Caenorhabditis elegans: one gene and its partner. The protein of the gene in region 2 purifies or fractionates together with the protein of the main gene of each other region. This does not show direct contact. Each region holds a gene or a part of one and is shown on either strand. Other genes may lie near its edges.

What was found.
Region 1: the proteins of K08D9.4 (region 2) and Y54G11A.7 fractionate together in Caenorhabditis elegans (co-fractionation; one large-scale study listed by BioGRID). This does not show direct contact.

The regions. Positions count from the first base shown.
Region 1 is NC_003280.10:14,295,380-14,300,172, forward strand, and holds Y54G11A.7 (Tetratricopeptide repeat protein 38), read left to right. Parts: upstream 1-1,925; 5' UTR 1,926-1,928; coding exon 1,929-2,127; intron 2,128-2,172; coding exon 2,173-2,338; intron 2,339-2,387; coding exon 2,388-2,561; intron 2,562-2,881; coding exon 2,882-3,077; intron 3,078-3,125; coding exon 3,126-3,472; intron 3,473-3,834; coding exon 3,835-4,156; 3' UTR 4,157-4,242; downstream 4,243-4,793. Other genes in the region: Y54G11A.4 (Tetratricopeptide repeat protein 38), read left to right, coding at 1-251; ctl-2 (Peroxisomal catalase 1), read right to left, coding at 4,278-4,793.
Region 2 is NC_003283.11:3,198,016-3,202,101, reverse strand, and holds K08D9.4 (AB hydrolase-1 domain-containing protein), read left to right. Parts: upstream 1-1,678; 5' UTR 1,679-1,688; coding exon 1,689-1,808; intron 1,809-1,859; coding exon 1,860-2,013; intron 2,014-2,066; coding exon 2,067-2,348; intron 2,349-2,441; exon of another isoform or gene 2,442-2,462; intron 2,463-3,003; coding exon 3,004-3,221; intron 3,222-3,267; coding exon 3,268-3,429; 3' UTR 3,430-3,558; downstream 3,559-4,086. Other genes in the region: Y73C8B.5 (EF-hand domain-containing protein), read right to left, coding at 3,769-4,029, 4,077-4,086.

The DNA.
Region 1 (4,793 bases), on a different chromosome or scaffold from region 2:
TTGCTCGTCGCGACTACGACACAGCAGCCGATACTATGTACCCAATCAGGGACAAAATCGTCCAGATCGGTGGATCTAATTCTCAGCGGGATCTTTTTGTGCAGACACTGATACAGTCTTGCATTTTGAGCAAGGATCCCAAAAATTGGGGATTGACACCTGAGCTGCTGGCGGAGAGGAATGCCTTGCATCATAACTCGTTGGTGGGACTGCGACTTGCTGATAAGTTTAGAAATTTGCATCCGTTGTAAGTTTCTGGAGAGTTTAAGTTATAATATGTATGTAATTATTTTCGATATCCTTTTGTTTTTTCAATAAATAAAGTTATTACATTACAACAGTTTCGGGCCCCAGGAGTTCGTGATTTTTGCAATAAGTTGTCAAAGTTCAGAACACGCGATTTTTTCATAATCCGGGAGATATCGGCTGCGATATGAGACATACAAGACGGATGAGTTTTAAATAACACAATTTCGCAGCCGACATTTTACGGGGAAATTTCGACTGGCATCACAGTTGTATTGTGCTGCTTTTAACGACCCTGGAGACGTCGGTTGCTTTTATAAAACCTGTGAACTTCTAGGCACTCTCTAAAAATTAGTCACTGCTGGCTTAGTTATACTCAACTTTTCTTAGACTTTATAAATAAATTTTGGCCAGCGAGATGTCGGCTGATGTATCACTGAAAATGGGATATTTTTCCCAGGAACCCGGGAAATGTCAGCCGCAATGTAAAAACCAGTTAGGTGTCGGCTGCTAGTTATCCAAATATAATGTCGGTGGATACATGCTCTATATTATACACTTCCCATCAACCCGGGAACAGTCCGCTGCTGATGCCGTTTTGACCTGTAAAGTGTCCTGGGAAGATGTCGGGTGCTTTTTTTTTAATATCAGTTAAATCATAACACTCATTTTGACCCGTAAAGTGTCGTCTGCTAAGCTATTGTTTCCTGTATAACCCTGAAAAATGCCCTTTTTCCCGAATTGATTGTTTGATTCTAAAACCGTTTTTTTCAATTTTTTTATCAAACCCCAACTAATCGTCAAAACTTTCACGTATTTTCCAGGTGTTATCAACATCAGTATCACAAATGTCCTGGACACACAAGCTTACCTATTTCTTTCCATTTTGCATGTATGTTGTTTTTGTCCCAATGAAGACGCACGTGCTATATCTGTTTGTCGTCTAGTCGTCTGGCACTCTCTTCTAGACTGCATACTCTCTAATTGTTGACCCTTCTTTTCTTGTTTTCACTTTTCCTTTTTTTAGATTTGGCAGTTTTAAGAGGTTTTTGAGAGGTTTTTTTTCGAGAATTTTATATGGTTTTTTCGCATTTTTGGCCGTTGATAACGTGGTCTTTAGATTAAAAATCGTAAAAATTTGGAATTTTTTAGAAAATCTAAAGTGCAAATTTTACTAATTTTTATGTTAAAAAGCTATGATTGAAGTTATACTCCATTTTATTTCTCATAAGGTCACAATTTTTTTTCTCAACAACTGTGATTGTCTACTAACTTTGGGTACTTCAAAATTGCTACAGTATATCAAAAATCGCGAAAAACTAGAAAACTGGTGATCACAGTTCTTTAATGTTTATTTTTTTACTTTTTCATGTAAAAATAAAGTCTAAAATCAGAACTGAATAATGTAGAGCCATTTTTGGAAATTACCGAAAATTTTGAAATTTCCTACCTAGCGAAACTTGCGCGTAGGATATGTTGTTTTCCGTGCCGATTTTATTATGAATTTAGTTTCGAACGGAGCAACTCTATGTCAACAGTAGAATATCGTGCTTTTTCAATGCAAAAAAAATCCGAAAATTCTAAACTTTCCTATCAAGTCCTCCCTCCCCCACTTGCATCATCTAACCCCGTCATATCGTTCATTAGACCTACCGCCCATTCCTCCTCTCTTCCTTCAGAAAATGGCCGAATGGTGTGCCGATCATTTGCGCAATTGCGAAGGCTGGAAGTCGGCTGGTCTGGAACTATCAACTACGAGTGATGAGAATGCGAAATGGTTGGATGCCTGCATTCGACAGCTTGTGTCCTGGTCGGATTGCACCAGTTTAGGCGGATTTCATACATCGATCGAGAAGCTTGTGGCTTCGGATCCTGAAGCAAGTTAGTTTGTTTTTTGTTTAGCACTTGGAGTCTCTGAATTTTCAGTTATGGCCCGAACTTTCCTAGTGGGCCTCTCCGGGCTCGGCACAGAAGCCGCTGCTCGAAATGTCGAATTTGCCAAGAAAATGGATCAACTAGAAATTGACGCTGAAAAGTATGGAAACGCCAGAGAAAAGCGACATGCCAAAGCAGCGATTTTGTGGGGAAGAGGGTAAGGGCTCCTTTAGGAGATATTTTTTTGAAACTTTCCTGTTTTTCAGAAAGCATCATGAAGCTGCCATCGAGTGGGACAAGCTTCTAGATGATTACCCAACAGATTTAATTGCAGTGAAGTTCTCACACGATGCTCATTTCTTCAATGGAAATCAGATAGGGAAGAAGAACGCAATTGAGAAGGTTATCCACAAGTGGAATGCAGATTTACCATGCTATAGGTGAGATTTAATTGTTTCTATTTTCGAAATATTTTAGTCTCTAAAATTGGTTTCATTTTAAAATAGCGCCATCTACAACAAGAAAACTGTCCTAGTAAGCGCTGCGTTCAGATTTTCCGAATTTCAAAAAACCAATGCGTCTAGAGTGGGATTTGAATCCATCTAAATAAAAGAGGTTATGGTTCATAAGGTCTAGGAGTTCAAGCTAGGTTCAGGCCTATTCACAACTAAATATGAAAATTAAAACAAAAATAACTAAATAGGTTTTATATCTACATGCTTCGAAACCGGCTTCTATCCCCAACATTTTTTTTCTTTAGCTATCTCCATGGCATGTATGCTTTTGGCCTTGAAGAATGTGGTATCTACGATGATGCTGAAACACAAGCAGATCGGGCCCTACAACTGAACCGATTTGATTGCTGGGCTTCCCACGCAAAGGCTCACGTCCTCGAGATGAACGGGCGGCACAAAGAGGGAAAAGAGTTTATGTACAAAACGGAGGATGATTGGAGGGTACTTTTCAATCTATTCAATTAATTGTAAATATACTTCCCCTTTCAGCAAGGTTGGATGCTAGCCTCTCACAACTACTGGCACACGGCACTATTTCACATTGAGTACGCAGAATATGAGTCAGCGCTGGGGATTTTTGATCGAGAAATTGCGAATCGATTCAACAAAACCAACTCCTTGCTAGACATGGTTGATGCCAGCTCACTGCTGTGGAGGTTAGAACTGGAAGGTGTCAATGTTGGAAGGGATCGGTGGAGGAAGATAGAGCATCTGTCGAAGTTCATCGACAATCACTCAATTGTGTTCAATGATGTGCACCTAGGGCTTGCAATTTATAGACAGGAGGATTTGGAGACGGAGAAGAAGTTGAGAAATTCATTGGAGAAGTATTCATCGTGAGTAACACTATCCAGTTCGCCTTATCCGAAAAGAGAGAAGCTACAAATCTATGAAAGATTTTGACATGTTGTATGTACTTGGTAGGCATGTGGTGTCGAGCTGTCCCATTTCGATTTGATTTACGTAGATCTACGAGAATTGCGGGAATTTAGACGCAGACGTCTTTGCTGATTTCGCATGATAAAGAACCTGCTGACGTCACATTTTTTAGGGAAAATTTCCCGCATTTTTTGTAGATCAAACCGTGATTGGCGAAAATTTAAAAACGTTGTATCGAAAGGTGTTAGGATATGTGGAATTAGATGTGATAATCAGCTCCTAGGTCAAACTTACCACATATCAAACTATCATTTTTCAGGCTGCTATCCGAGGACAATGCCCAAATCAGCAAGACCATCGGGATGCCCCTCTACGACGGGATGCTTGACTTTGCCCGCTGCGACTACGACACAGCTGCCGAGACTATGTACCCAATTCGCGATAAAGTTGTCCAAATCGGAGGATCTCATGCCCAGCGGGACCTTTTCGTTCAGACACTGATACAGTCTTGCATTCTGAGCAAGGATCCCAAGAATTGGGCTTTGACGCCTGAGCTGCTGGTGGAGAGGGAGACCCTGAAGCATGACTCGCTGTTGGGCCAGAGGCTTGCTGATAAGTTTAGAGCTTTACATCCGCTGTGAGTTGGTGGAGAGTTTAAGTTATATTAACTTTATTTATTTTTAATTATCATATTTTTTATACACAATAAAGCAAGTTATTACAATAAAAAGTACATTTAATTTCTTTTAATTTCAAGAAAGTTTAGATATGAGAGCGAGCCTGTTTCTGGATGAGTGCCTTGACACGAGCTCCAAAATCTGGATGAACCTTTGAAAAGTGATCGATCATTCCCTTAATAATGAAATCATGACATTCCCCGAGCGGCCCTGCAAAGTTCTGGCACATTCTCTCCCGAGCCCCGGTATCCAACACCTTCTCCCAGAATTGACGGGGTTGATCATAGTTGTTGTCATCTCCACTTTCATAACGATCAACATCTCCAGTGGCTGGGAATGTGGTATCCTTGACATCCGGACGAGTCTTTCCATAGTTGAAGCTGTTCGGGAAGAAGTTTGGAGCATGTTGCTGATTGTCATAAGCCATTGCACCATCACGCTGGGTGTTATGAGCACGGGAGCGGTACGGGCAGTTGACTGGAAGCTGGATGTAGTTTGGTCCAAGGCGGTGGAAATGAGTGTCGGTGTACGAGAAGATACGTCCTTGGAGCATCTTGTCTGGCGAGAACTCGATTCCTGGGACGATGTGGGCCGGGCAGAA
Region 2 (4,086 bases):
GAATTGAAAATATCCGGCAAATCGACAAACCGGCAAGTTGCCGGAATTGAAAATATCAGGAAAACCGGCAGTTTGCCGATTTGCCGAGTTTGTCGACAAAATTTGCCAAAATTGCCAAATGGCAATTGCCGCCCACCTATTGCCGGTTCAGTATTTTAATGAAACACTTCAAAATTTTAACATTTTTCAACATTTTCAGTCAAATTTTTGGTGAAAAAAATTCGAGAATCGCTGGTTTAAACCCTCACCAATAATTAAAAAATATTTGAAACACCATTGAATCCGCTCGTTGAAATTTTTAAAAGTTGTTTTTTTTTAATTTTTGAAAAATTTTACTACGATTTTTTTTTTCAATTTTAGGAAATTCATGTAGTTGCTTGAATTTTTTCCTTCCTCTTTCTGAATTTTTTTTGTATTTTTTGAAAATTCGGAAATAAAGGCTGTCAAAAAATGTAATTTTACAATAAATTGTATTCTCGCTTTTACATATTGAATTGAATTGAATTTATTACGATTGAAATCATGATAATAAACGTAATAAACATACGATAATAAACATACAGAAAACTAATAAACATACAGAAAATGAATTATCATCTGAAAAGTTGATTAGTTGGTACATGAATGTGCGGGTGTCAGGGAGATGAATAATGGGTAAAAGTATTAAACATGCATAGGACATGAGGTGCCAAAATAAGATTCATTGCGCAAGATTCATTGCGAAATAAGATTCATGTCCGAAGTTGACTTTTTTGGAATTATCGTCCTTTATTACATATATTGGTAGTTTATCTCATTTACTTTCGTTGATATAAGGTATATTTAAAGCCGATAGGTAACCAATTTCGATAATTTTTGGTTCCATATCGGCTAATATAACATACATAACATACATAACATGTGATATAACATACATATCTGAAAAGTCCCCTATTTTTGACAAAAAAACAACACCCAAAAATACCAGAAATGTCAAAAACTGCAGCGACCGACATCTTGTGAGTTCGCTTTTCCTGATATACTTCAATTGACTGGTTTAAAAACTCAGCTATCGATGGGCAAATTTTCGGCAAGTTTTCGGCATCAGGCGACCAAATTGCAAATCTTCGCAGTTGGCCAAACGTATAATTTTGTTGAACTCATATTTTAGAGCTTTTTTCAGTTTACAGTGTAATTTTTGCATTTTTCTGAATGCGAATTTTTTTTTCTCAAATTTTCACGTCTTCACACAGTTGCAACTCAATGTCAATTGTTAGACGGTTATTTTTTGATTTTCTTTTGGCCAGAAAAAATTGTCCAAAAAGCTTGTTTTTTTATCAAATGTAAAAAAAAACTCATCTAATAGTAAAGCTAAAATTTTATTCCAGTAGGGTCCAGAGTACCCGATGGGCACACCGGCCACACTCCAACTACACAGCTGACCCGCGCTTCTCTCCTCTTTTTCGTTTGGGTACGCAGTTGACGTCATATCTTCTTTCTTTTTTTACATGCCAGCTTCATGTTGTGCTTTATATTTTGTCTTTTTGATTTTCCAGCAATCGTTGTATTTTTTACGTTTCTAGTACAAAAATGGAGAAGGTCAGATTTTTTTTTCTAAACACAAATTTGATTAAATTTGATAATATCTCGTGAATAAAAATGTTTCAAATTGGTGATTTATGATACAAATTCTTTCAAGAAAATCAATAATGATTATGTCAAAAGGAGCATTTTCCACGCTACCCGCCACCGAGCCGAAGTTGTATTCAAAGTTGGTGCAGTTCCAAACCAAAAGGAGAAGATTGGTAGATTTAAATGCAGTTTATGAGGTAGGTTGACACTGAAATACTGATTTCTCAATTTAAAAGTCAGTTTTTCAGGACTCATTATCATCTGGCTCCCCATTGGGTACTGTGATTGGATTCCATGGAACTCCAGGGTCTCACAGGGATTTCAAGTATGTCAGGCAGCGATTGGAGCACATGAATATTAGATTTATTGGTATTAACTACCCAGGATTCAAGCAAACTCCAGGTAGTTTCAGTTAATTAATAAAAAACCATCAAATAATTAAAAATAAATTTCAGCGTACCCAGGTCAACACTTCGGAAACTGGGAACGAAATAGTTACTCAGAAGCTCTGTTAAACGAGCTAGATGTGCCGGGAAAAGTGATCATAATGGGGCATAGCAGAGGATGTGAGAATGCACTGATAACAGCAGCTAATCGGAAACCTCATGGACTAGTGATGGCTAATCCAACAGGGTTGAGGATTAATAAAGGGTCTCGTCCGAAGGGAAAGTTGGAGTCGCTGATTTATTTACATAAGAAATTGCCGAAAAAGATTGGAGATGCCATTTTGTATAATTGTGAGTATAAGCAAAATGAGAAATATGCCATAGGCCACTACCAAAAAATGTTTCAATGTGGTGTTTTACTACTGTTGAGGCTCGTCAAAATGCTTGAAAGTTGGATTTTTTCATAAACTTTTTCATTTTGGGAGCGTTTTTGATTAAAAAAAAAGCAAAAATCTGAAAAGTTTTCTGGATGTTGCCTACCCCTAGAGCAATTTTACGAGCTTCAGAACAATTGGAAAAATGTCCTGTAAAAATAAAATTTGAGATCGGAAATTTTCTAGTTCAAAACGCAGCAAAATTATTGGTAGTGGCTTATTTAAAGTGTAGTTTTGGCAGTTTAGGAATACGTATTTTCGTTAGACCTAAGTTTTTAAAAGTGGTGTACCGAAATCTGAGACTTTACTTTTTTAGATCCAAAATGACCCAAAACTACCAAATTTCGTAATGAGATGTTCTGAAAATTTTTCAAATAAAAGTTATGTCGGCTCAATGTTTTAGAAAAAACCCGTTTTTGAGAAACTTTCAAAACATCTCATTATGAAAGTCGATGGTTTTGGGTCATTTTGGGTCTAAATAAGCAAAGTCTCAAATTTCGGTACTCCACCTTTAAAGGATGTTCGAAATTTTCAGGGATACTTCAGATCTTATAAATTATTTCAATTTCCAGTAATGAAATTGGTTGGATTCAAAATTCATGATGGTGAAGAAGCCGTGGCGGTTATTCGAGCAATTATGAACTGTGACCTGGAAAAGCAACTGGAATACATTCTGAAATTAAATGAACTGCCCACAAAGACTATGATCACTTTTGGCGGAAGTGATCATTTAATTGAAAAGGAAATTGTTTTTGAAGCACTCAAAAAGTATCAGGGACTCGCGCATTTTGTAAGTTTTGTGATAGAAAAACTTGAAAAATTGGAAGGAATTTCAGAATTTCAAAGCGAATATCACAGAATCCGAAAAGCAGAAAATAATGGAAAGTTTCAAAAATCAAAAAGGAACATCTGTATTTATTGCAAAGGATAATCATTTTCAAAATAAGAAGCGGGCGGATTTATTGGCAGATGCTGCTAGATCAATGTTATTAAATTAATGTTTTGAAATTTTCAAATTGTTTAACTTTACAAACAAAAGGGAAATCTGCAACATGAACAATATTTTCAACGACTATAATTTGAGAACTGTAATAGTAATTTTATTCAATAATAAACTTACAAAAAATATTTAGCTTTTGAAATACTGCCCCAGAAAAAGTCAGCAAAAATTACAAAAGACAACGAATTTTAGGTGAACCAAAGTTTTTAATCGGCAAAAAAAAGAGTTTTTCAATTGAAGGTTGATGAAATATTTATTCAAAGTTTTTTAGGGAAGATAATACTTATAAACGAGAGGATAAGAGGAGGAAACTGGAAAATTTGAGGTTGGTGATTCTCTAAAGAGAAGGATTTACAGCTCTGGTTACATCGATGAGCTCATCTAAATCAACTTGACCATTTCTGTCGATATCGGTGTAACGGAAAGTTTTGCGAATCCCTTCGGCAGACAGCCGTGCTTGAAAGTTGCTGAAGAGGGGTTCCAGTTCAGCAACAGAGATGAAGCCATTTCCGTCTTCGTCAAACTCTTGGAACACCTTTTTAAAATTCTCTTCACTCTGTGCCAAGCCTCTTAGCGACAACATAGCTCCTGTTAGCTCCTGTAAAGCATCTATACAAATTGTTTCGAACATTATTAAAAACTCACTCCAAGAGCC